Caenorhabditis elegans: one gene and its partner. The protein of the gene in region 1 interacts with the protein of each later gene in a pairwise test. Each region holds a gene or a part of one and is shown on either strand. Other genes may lie near its edges.

What was found.
Region 2: the proteins of rpn-1 (region 1) and rpt-2 interact in a two-hybrid assay, tested with the Caenorhabditis elegans proteins (2 studies listed by BioGRID).

What each region holds. Positions count from the first base shown.
Region 1 is NC_003282.8:6,905,612-6,911,724, forward strand, and holds rpn-1 (26S proteasome non-ATPase regulatory subunit 2), read right to left. Parts: upstream 4,303-6,113; 5' UTR 4,294-4,302; coding exon 4,195-4,293; intron 4,134-4,194; coding exon 3,409-4,133; intron 3,362-3,408; coding exon 2,422-3,361; intron 2,347-2,421; coding exon 1,507-2,346; intron 1,461-1,506; coding exon 1,350-1,460; intron 1,305-1,349; coding exon 1,163-1,304; intron 1,114-1,162; coding exon 1,025-1,113; 3' UTR 809-1,024; downstream 1-808. Other genes in the region: T22D1.17 (Col_cuticle_N domain-containing protein), read left to right, coding at 386-559, 649-768; ribo-1 (Dolichyl-diphosphooligosaccharide--protein glycosyltransferase subunit 1), read left to right, coding at 5,072-5,236, 5,300-6,113.
Region 2 is NC_003283.11:6,015,344-6,019,683, forward strand, and holds rpt-2 (putative 26S proteasome regulatory subunit 4), read right to left. Parts: upstream 2,327-4,340; 5' UTR 2,326-2,326; coding exon 2,163-2,325; intron 2,117-2,162; coding exon 1,896-2,116; intron 1,851-1,895; coding exon 1,128-1,850; intron 1,082-1,127; coding exon 857-1,081; 3' UTR 706-856; downstream 1-705. Other genes in the region: Transcription factor fos-1, read left to right, coding at 227-348; aps-1 (AP complex subunit sigma), read left to right, coding at 2,632-2,709, 2,758-2,861, 3,116-3,407; picc-1 (PAC-1 interacting and coiled-coil domain-containing protein 1), read left to right, coding at 3,663-3,687. UniProt on the Caenorhabditis elegans protein: The 26S proteasome is involved in the ATP-dependent degradation of ubiquitinated proteins. The regulatory (or ATPase) complex confers ATP dependency and substrate specificity to the 26S complex.

The DNA of each region.
Region 1 (6,113 bases):
ATTGGTGGGAAATGTTAAAAACTATGAAATGGGCTTATAACATTATTTGTTAGATTTTTGTGCCGGAAATATGGTGACCGGGTCTCGTTACGATAATTTTTTGCTAAACACTGCACCTTTAAATAATACTGTGATTTCAAATGTTCAAACTGTTTTTTTTTGAATCACAAAAAGTCTAAAAGTTTACACAATTCACTTCTATAGTTCGTCAAACTGGTTAGTCTCTACAAATATCTCTAAATCTCTTCACTTTTTCTTATCTTTTATCACCTGTTTTCTGTAGTTTTCAATTCTTTGTCTAATTGTATTGGTCATTTGCTTCTTCTTTCTATTACTTTTCCATTTAATACATCAAATTTTGAAACTTTATAGTTTTTTCGAAACTATGAATACATCCGAATTTTTATACAAATTTCGTTTCATCGCTGATTTTGCTGCTATTGGAATTTTATGTTTTATGGCAATTATGACACTTGTTGTTATATATTTGACAAGTGATATTATTAATGAAATTGATGAAATGAAAGATGTTTTTATGGATAAAAAGGCTACTTTTGAGGTGAGTGTAATAATTCATTAAACTTTTCTAAAAACTGAAAAACTAAAATTTCCAAACTCACATTTGAACATTCTAAATTTTATTTCCAGATGTATGCGAACGATGCTGAAAATCTAATGTCGAACAATCGCCACCTTGACGGATTTTCTGATATATTCGATACTTTGATAAGGATACCTAGAAGATCTTCAAATTCCTGTGATCAATAAATATTAATACATATATAAAACCCAGGATGATAAGATTGAAAGTAATAATTTACTCGAATACCGTCCCACTCAAATTTAAAGTGTACACGTTTTTTTCAAAGAAAAAATGATGAGGGAGAGGGAAAATTGACAGAAAAACGGGAAATCGGGCAGAGAGCGAATGCAATCGGATTGTGCACAATAAAACGGGTCAAAACGGATAATTTAGATGGGAGAAAAGGGGGAGAAAAATAAATTAGATCCATAAATTTGTTGGTTACTTCTTAGTTGATACAACAACCGGCTGATAATCTGGATTCTTCTTCAAAATAACCAATCCTTCAAGATGTGGAGTCACAGAGAGATCTGAAATATTTTAGTTAAAAATTAATTATCAAATGTTAGGATGGCATACATTCATCGTTCGCCAACTCGGCACGTTCACCATGGGCAAGCAAGACTGGCGTAGTATGAGTTTGGAATCCAGTGATTGTCTTTGGCTTTCCGGCTTGAGCAACAACGTCAACGGCTTGACCAACACGAACAGAAACGTTCAACTGTAAAATCACATTGGAGAGTTGAAACTTTTAAAAAAATTATACCTGTTTCAAGCTTCCAGGCTTCATTTCGTCTTCTACCAGTGTGGTAAGCATTCTTGGTTGCATTGCGAGCACCAACGTGTAGAGCAAGTAATGCTGACGGTTGTTGAGAATCTAAATTTGAAATAAATTATGGTAGAAATATCAATCTTGCACTAACCGTGTTATTGGCGTCGAGGAAAGAGAAGCAAATTGAAAGGAGAGAAGCCAAAGCACTTGGAGACAATAATTGCCTATCAGAATGCCATGGGTTCAACGTCATTGTTCCTTTTCCGAGATGAGTAAGTCCTTGTGCAATTCTGACCAGCATTAGAGAAACTTGATCCTTGTAGTGATAAGAAGCCAGGTTTCGGAGCATAGCAACAAGACGAGCATTGTTTGTTCCTGCTCCAACAAGTCCCATCGCGAAAATAGCATTGTGAGCGGTATCAGCGTCAGAATCGTGAGAGAACTTGGACAGAGTTTCCAAAATGTTCAATTGAGGATTTGAGACGGAGAGAAGTGACAACGCCAAGGGAACAGCACGACGGATAACTGGTTCTCCATATCTGATGAGATGTCCGAACATGCGAAGAGCCATCTGAGATCCGATGTCATCTCCCATAGCAATCAGACCAATTCCGAGTACAGCAACCGCCTGTTGCGATGACAAGTCTGGCTTGGCAGGTGGTGCTGGAGTAGCGTCGGCGGCAGCAGTCTCTGGAGCTCCTGGTGTAGCAGCACTTGCGGCTCCTGGAAGGTCGCGTCTCGGAGCAGCTGGGGCAACGGCGGGTGTTCCAGTTGGGGCTGGAGTGCCAGCGACGTTGACATTTCCAGGTTGCGCAGCAGGACGAGCAGGTGTAGCAGCAGCTGGGGCTGGTCCACGCGGTCCACGAGAAGCGGCAGTTTTCTTCTCAGCTGCTGGCGTCTCGTAGTGTTCAGAGCAGAGATGGAGCAATTTCTGGATTTTCAAAACATTTCCAGTTCCTGCGTATGCACAAACTTCAACGAGCGTAGAAACCTGAAATTGTATTCATTATGATATGAACAAGGGAATAGCCAAAACTCGAGGTGATCTAGAACAAATAATACTTACCATCGCTCCAAATGGATCAGGAAGTGAACGGAGACTTTCGACAAACACATCACTCTTGTCCTGAGTTTGCAAGAAGATCAATGCAATTCCCAATGCAAGGAAACGCATATTTGGATCTGTGAGCTCAGTTTCGCTTTTATCCATTAGAGCTTGAAGCATCTCCATCGCAGCTTCCGCATCAGCAGTTCCAACAAGAATGAGGCCAAGAGAAAGTCCAGCAAGTCCTTTAACTTCAGGAATAGCCGATGGCTTTTGATCAGAAAGAACTTTCTTGAGCTCGAAAATAACACCGCGTTCCTCATTCTTTGTAACGGTTTCTCTTTTGGAATTAGCGTAGGCAAGTCCAAGTCCAAGAATTGATCCTACTCTCATAATTGACCGATCAGATTGAACATGATCAAGGAGAAGTGCGGAAGCAGGGTCACAAGCATCTTGAATTCCAGAGGAAATAATACCAATAGCCAAAAGGGTTCCAGCCTTGATATAATCGTCATTGATATACAAGAATCTGTCGCATTGTGCCAGGCCGGTATCGATATCCCATCTCCAGATAAGACCCTGTGAGGCGGCTGCAGTAAGCATTCCATATTCCTTGTTCTTGTAGAACCATCTGGAGGCTTCCTCTGTTTCAGCCATCATTTTATCAACTCCGAATCCACAGTTCACGAATCCATTCACCAACGCAGCGGCGAGATTCATGCGAGTAGAGTCTGGCTGAGCAGAGTTTCCGAATGGCCGGGAATGTTCCAAATGAGATTTGTAAATTCCTTCTGGAGTTTTAGGCTCCATAATGTCGAGCTCACGAGCCAAGGAGTGGAAGTATTCATAGAGATGAGCATTGGAATTCAGTTCGGCAAGAGCATCCGAATCTGCAGATCCCTCGTAGTCAAGGAAAATCTGATGGCGACCGAGCAAGATAGCCATTTGCTTTCGAAGCAATCTGAAAACTTTTCTTTAGGAAAGTAAGAGACGTTATATTTAACTTACGGGTCAGATGCCTTCGCAAATATTTGATGAACCTGTGGAATATCGTTGACCATGATAGCACATCTAACAGCTTCAAGATACCGGTTGAATTTCAAATAGAGTTGGAGAGCAGTGCGAATAAGAATAATGTTATCCGGGTCTGGAGTCAATGGGGCACATGAAAGAAGATAAAGGCACACACGTTGGTGATCAACTTCTTGGACATAAGAGATCAGCAAATCAATACGCTCAATTTCGATGAGCAAATCGCACGCTTCAACTTCTGCGTTGTGTTTCATGTGATGGCTGACAATATCCTGAGTCAACTTAAGGAGTTCAGCTTTTCTCGCATCCGAAGTGCCTTCCTTCTTCCACTCCTCTGACATTTCCATCGCCAAATGACGAACGTATTCATGTCCCCAATCCCCGATCGGCTCGTGTGATCCAAGAATACGATAGTTGATCGTGTCGGTTCGCTCATCTGATGTCATTGCGAGCACTGAAATGATATCTGCGCAAAGTTTCTTAACGTCAGGCGCCACGATCGATGTGAAAATCTCCTTCATTTTATTGTAATGCGGACGCATAAACTTGAGAGGTTTTGGAACAGAGGTCATCGATGTGGTTGAAGCACGAATCAATGTCCGCATAGTCTCCAGTGATGGCTTGTAAAGTGTTGTGTCCGGTTCAGATAAACGCTGAACAAGAAGATTGAGATCCTCCTCGAGTTTTTGATCCTCTTCGCTCTGAAATAAATAAGCTATAAGTCTCATTACGGCTTAAACAATAGTTATTCTTTAAACTAACCATCTCTTCTTTTTTTGGCTCAGCTTTCTCGGGAACTTTTTTATCGTCGGCTTTCTTTTTGTCCGCCTCTTTTGGTGTCTGTTGAGTAGTCGCCACCATTTTTCGATCCTTCAAAATATATGTATTCGAAAGAGAAGCTGAGATTTCGAAATGAATTTTATAGAATTAACAAAACAGTTAAGTCACGAAGAAACTATAACAGCGTATTCAAATACTAATTCCCTCGAAAACGTGAATATTTTTCAACTTTATGAAAACATCGAAAAATAACTATTTTGAGAGTCAGAGTTTGGAAAAAAGGAATAGAAACTAAGAGTGAAATACATCTAATCCGAATAAAAGAATAAAAAAACAACAAAACGATGACAATTGGATTAGAAAATCTGAAAATCCGCGCCGGTTCGCGGAAAAAATGATAATTTGAACAGACTTTGTTTAAAGGCGCAGTCATCATGCCGGCTGGTGGGTCTCGCCACGAATGGCTCCGATTCAAAATACGTGGACGAGTTTACCACGTCTTTCTCTTTTTTTTGCTGAAATTATTGTAATTTAAAGATAGATTTTCGCAGAATTTATGCATCAAATCAATATAATACACTTGAAATTTGCTCTTATAATGAATTTTGCTGATTTCACCAAACAAAAATATCATTTTTCTAGTCTGTACATGCGAATTTTTGCTGCTAAATGATTTTGTGACAAAATAAAGTTACTCTGTGCTGAGATTGTAATAATAGATAATTTTTTAACACGAGCTGATTAATTAAATTCCAAATAGATGTCGTCTTGCTCGATCAGTCGAATTTCATTCTTGAAACGTTTTAATATGACATTTTTGGGTTTTCTGCATTTTTGATTGTATATCTAATTTTTCCAGATGCGATTGCTATTTGCCATCGCTCTCCTGGGGGCGGTTTTCGCTGAAGACGCTTGGAAAGCCGCTAATGTTGACCGAACCATCGATGCCACGTCACAAATTGTCAAGGTTTCGACATTGTATTCATTTGAGAACGTTGGAAATGGACCTCAATCGAAAGTTTTGGTATGTAGATATATTTTTCCTGAAAATTCACTATATTTCCTATATTTCAACTTTATTTTTCAGATTGCTTTGTCTAAAGAAGAATCTGCTACTCTTTCTTTCATTTCTGCTGGAATCGATGGAAGCAAAGGAAAATTGAAAATTTCTGAAAAACCAGCCGAAAAGGATCTTGCAGTTTACGAAGTAGACCTCCGAACTCCTGTTGCCAAGGGAGCCAAAGTTACCATAAGAATCAATCTTCGTATCACACAAGTACTTGAGCCACTCCCATCCAAGATTCAGCAATCTGACAGTCAATTTGTTGTTCTTCACACATCTGCATACGTTCCTTCCCTGTACGAAACTGTGACCCAAAAAACAACTATTAGAACCACTCAAGGAGGCAAGCTTCTATCCGCAACCACAGTTTCTCCATCGAAACAAGAAACGGAACGTGTCATCTACGGACCATATGTTAATATCCCAGCTTTTGAGACGAAACCAGTCAAAGTTCATTATGAAAATAACTCGCCATTCGTTATTGCCACCATCGTGGAAAGATTCATCGAGGTTTCTCACTGGGGAAACATCGCTGTGGAGGAGTACATTGAATTGGTTCACAAGGGAGCTGAGCTTGATGGTCCATTCTCAAGAATCGATTACCAAATGGACCGTCGTGGACGTCGCCAACCAGCACTCCAACAGTTTACCACAGTTCTTCCTGCTCAAGCTAAAGATATCTATTATCGTGATGAGATCGGAAACATTTCTACATCCGCTGTACGAATCCGTGCTGACAGCGTTGACGTTGAGATTCGTCCACGATTCCCACTCTTTGGAGGATGGAAGACGTCGTATGTCATCGGATACAATTTGCCATCGGAAGAGTATTTGTACA
Region 2 (4,340 bases), on another chromosome or scaffold:
AAAAACTCAACGTTAAATATAAAAAATGTTAAAATTGGAACTACAATTGCGAGTACGGTAGCTGGAAAGTTGTTGGCGTGCCAAGACCCAGAAATTTGCATAATTTTAATTCAAATGCCGATATTTCTACAATATACGAAAATTTTCTTAAATTTTTCCAGTTTCATCCCGGGCTAAAAAGTGTTATTTTTATTTCTCAAAATATAATTAACGATTTTCATTCCAGGCCCATTCGACTTGCTTTCCTCCAACACTGGTCTGACACCTTCTGGTCAGCCAACAATGAACTTCGTTTCAACTCCAACCCCGATTCAACCACATCCGGATGCTGATCTCCGACCACTCTAGATTCCGATTCAAATCATTTTCTGTAGCGTGCATTTGTAATTTTCCCCGTCCAGCTCTCATTATTACAAAATTTCATACAATTTCCCGATTTTCTATCCAATTTCCATATCTTTAAATTCAGCCAGTTCTCTCTTTTCTCATTATAGTTTCACTTTTAGCTACTGAAATTCCCCCAACTTTCCGTTTCCAATTATTGTGATAAGAAATACATTCAACTGTAACATCATTTTCTTATTCTTCGAAACCATCAACTTCTTCACTGGTAAATCTTCAAGTCGATTTTCTCCATTTTTTTCTTCTTCAGTTTCATTAAATTCATGAACTTTCCTTACCAACCATCAATCCCAATGTCACATAAACGAATATTTTTCATCATGAATCATTTACCTCAATCAATCCAGATTTAAAATTACATTAAATCGGTTTTTGTGCAACGGGACGTTCAAAAAGGGAATAAAATAAATTGGGAAAGAGAAAATACAAAAAAAATAAATAAAACGGGGCACATTTACAAATAGAGTTCTTCTGGAGCTCCTTCCTTCTTACGGTAGAGCACATTTTCTTTGGACTTCTGGAAATCTTCCATCGTGACACGCATACGACGCTCGCGAAGAGCTAAGAGACCAGCTTCTGTGCACATAGCCTTGATATCAGCTCCACTCAACTCGTCCTTTGCTGTGATGAACTCTTCGAGGTTAACTTCTTTGCCGAGTGTCATTCGAGATGTATGGATCTGAAAATAAAAACTTCATATAATGTTTAGAAAAAATTGTTCCAACCTGGAAGATACGGCGCTTCGTTTTTTCATCTGGCAGGGGGAATTCAATCTTACGATCAATACGACCTGGACGAATGAGAGCAGGGTCGAGAGATTCGATGCGGTTAGTGGCCATCAAAACTTTAACATCTCCACGGGAATCGAATCCATCAAGTTGATTGAGAAGTTCAAGCATAGTCCGCTGAATTTCACGTTCTCCACCAGAGTTCGAATCGTAACGTTTTGTTCCAACAGCATCAATTTCATCAATGAACACAATTGATGGTGCATTCTCCTCAGCAACGCGGAAGAGCTCACGGACCATCTTTGGACCATCTCCGAGGTATTTCTGAATAAGTTCCGAACCAACAATACGAAGGAAAGTAGCTGACGTCTGATTAGCAACAGCCTTGGCAAGTAGCGTTTTTCCAGTACCAGGACAACCGTATAGAATAACTCCCTTTGGAGGCCGGATTCCCATCTCTTCGTAGTATTCAGGATGAGTCAGTGGAAGCTCAACTGCTTCTTTAATTTCTTGAATTTGCTGATCAAGACCACCAACATCGGCATACGTTTCTTGTGGTGCTTTTTCGAGCTTCATGACAGACACCATAGGATCTGTATCATCGGAGAGAACTCCGATGACGGCGTGATTCTTGTGGTTGAGAAGGACTGAACATCCCGGCTCGAGTTGTTCCTTGTCGACGAATGACATGATGTTGACGTAATGCTCACTTCCGACGTTCTAAATATTGAAATAAGAAAATATTATCGATATATTGATTCTTACAGTTGAAACAATGGCGTGCTGATCATCGATAATTTCCTCAAGTGATCCGACTGCCATTGGTGTTCCACGGAGCTCGTCCACCTTGGCGCGCTCTTCTTCTTGTCTCTCCTCTTGTGGCTTCAAACGCTCCTGGTTTTGAATGAATTCTTGCTCCATCAACAAATAATCCTTGATTCTTTCGCTCTTCAGCAACTTCAGACGGCATCTGGCATGTGGTGTGACTAAAACCGAATCATCAGTTAAAATACACACTAGATTGAAACTTACCAGCTGGAAGTTTGCTAGCGGCGTCAGGTCCCTTAGACCCCTTCTTCTTCTTTCCAATCCTAGATGGAATCGGTGCCTCATATTTCTTCTTTTCCTTCTTCTCTCCATCTCCGGCACCGCGGTCATTTCCTCTTCCACCGAAACCTGACTGTTGTTGCCCCATTCTAGAAAATAATGATTTTATATGAAAAATAATAAGTCCACGTTTGAAAAAGAAAACAATTGAAAGATATAAAATAAGTAGAACGAAGAATGATTTAAAAAAATACAGCGTTGATGATGACAATGCAAGCGCGCTCTGGTGAGAACTAAACAACGCGCGGTTTCGTATTTTCGGAGCTTCGTTGTTTTTATTGACGAAGCCACATGTCTGTTTTATTCAGAAAATCTAATTTTTCAATTGATTTTTAAGTATTTTCAGCGTTTTAAAGTTTGCAAACGATTGTTCATACTCTTGTTTTCAGTAAACATGATGCAATACATGCTTCTCTTCAGTCGCCAGGGCAAACTGCGGCTGCAGAAATGGTACACTGCTTACCCCGACAAGGTAAGTGTATTTCCTATTCATATGTGTAATTTCACACTCAATTTTCAGCAAAAGAAGAAAATTTGCCGCGAACTCATCACTCAAATTCTGGCGAGAAAACCGAAAATGTGTGCGTTCCTCGAATACAAGGATTTGAAAGTTGTCTACAAACGGTTCGTATTTTATATTCAAAAGTAACAACTCCCATTTCCTGTCATGCCTTAAAATTGTTCCTTCTGAAAATAACTTACAAGTTTATAATCAAAATTTCTTGAAAATTATAGTTACACACCTAAATCCGAAGTTATTACGTTTTTTATTCATGAAAAATATTTTGGCGTCAAATTTAGTTGTTTAATAGACATTTTTGTGATAAATGAAACAAAAACTTAACAATTCGTTCAATTTTTAATCTCAACAATTTCAGATACGCGTCTCTGTATTTCTGCTGCGCCATCGAACAAAACGACAACGAGCTCATCACTTTGGAAGTCATTCATCGTTACGTAGAACTCCTCGACAAATATTTTGGAAGTGTTTGTGAGCTGGATATCATCTTCAACTTCGAAAAAGCTTACTTCATACTCGACGAATTTTTACTGGCTGGTGAAATCCAGGAAACCAGTAAAAAACAAGTTTTGAAGGCGATTGCTGCCCAAGATCTCATTCAAGAAGAAGAAACTCCACAAGGATTCTTCGAGGATCACGGTTTGGGATAATGAAGATAATAGTAACATAATTTATTGACTTTGAAAGCTTCCGTAAATACCAAATACTTCCACCTTACTTTATTTATCCTGGCTATGTGTCTGGTTGTGATAATATTCATGTGAATAAGAGAAGAAAACATTCATTTTTCAATCTTCCATTATGTATTCTTTCTGTTAGGAAACTTCAATGCATGACTTGCATTATTTCTACACTTTTTTCAATTTTTTCTTTAAAGTTTTGAACTTTCTCAGGTTTCGAAGCGGATGATTATCACAACTCCGAGACGAGGTGAGCTAATGTGAATTTTGCCGAGTTTCCCGCACATGAGTGTAAAACACGAACAGGGGAAAGGTGGATTCAAGGATAATTCAACGGGGGGTAATATGCGAACGTTGGCAGTGTAACATGTCAGTTCGAACGGAATGAATGTAGGAATGATTGGCACCTCTGCCGGAATTGTCATTTGTTAGATTACAAAGCACAATGTTCACCTTCTTGTTGGTGTCGAATTTCAAAATATCATTTATCTGAAATTTCGATAAGTATGATTAAACTAGTCAAAATTGTTTCGATCACTTCCGTTTTCTCAAAGTTTAATCATTTTCGTACAGTAGATGTTTGTGTCCTCTTCATGTTTTCTGCCCAATACTTCTTCCTCTTCCCATCCACTATACTTTGCATTGTTTTTGGTTTTACATTGAACAAGGGCAGTGAAGGCGGAGACAGCGGGAAATGTTTCCGCGCGGATTCACTCATTCTCTCAAGTATCCATCAATTTGCTCCAGCACACACTTGTTCTTTCACCTAGTTTTTGAGTCGTAGTTAATTTTTGATCTAAAATCTTGGCAGAAAGCAGAAGTACGCATCACATTATTTGAATAAGTATTCGCATTTTCAATATTCGCAGTCCATGAGACCCTAGAAATCATAAACAAACCTCG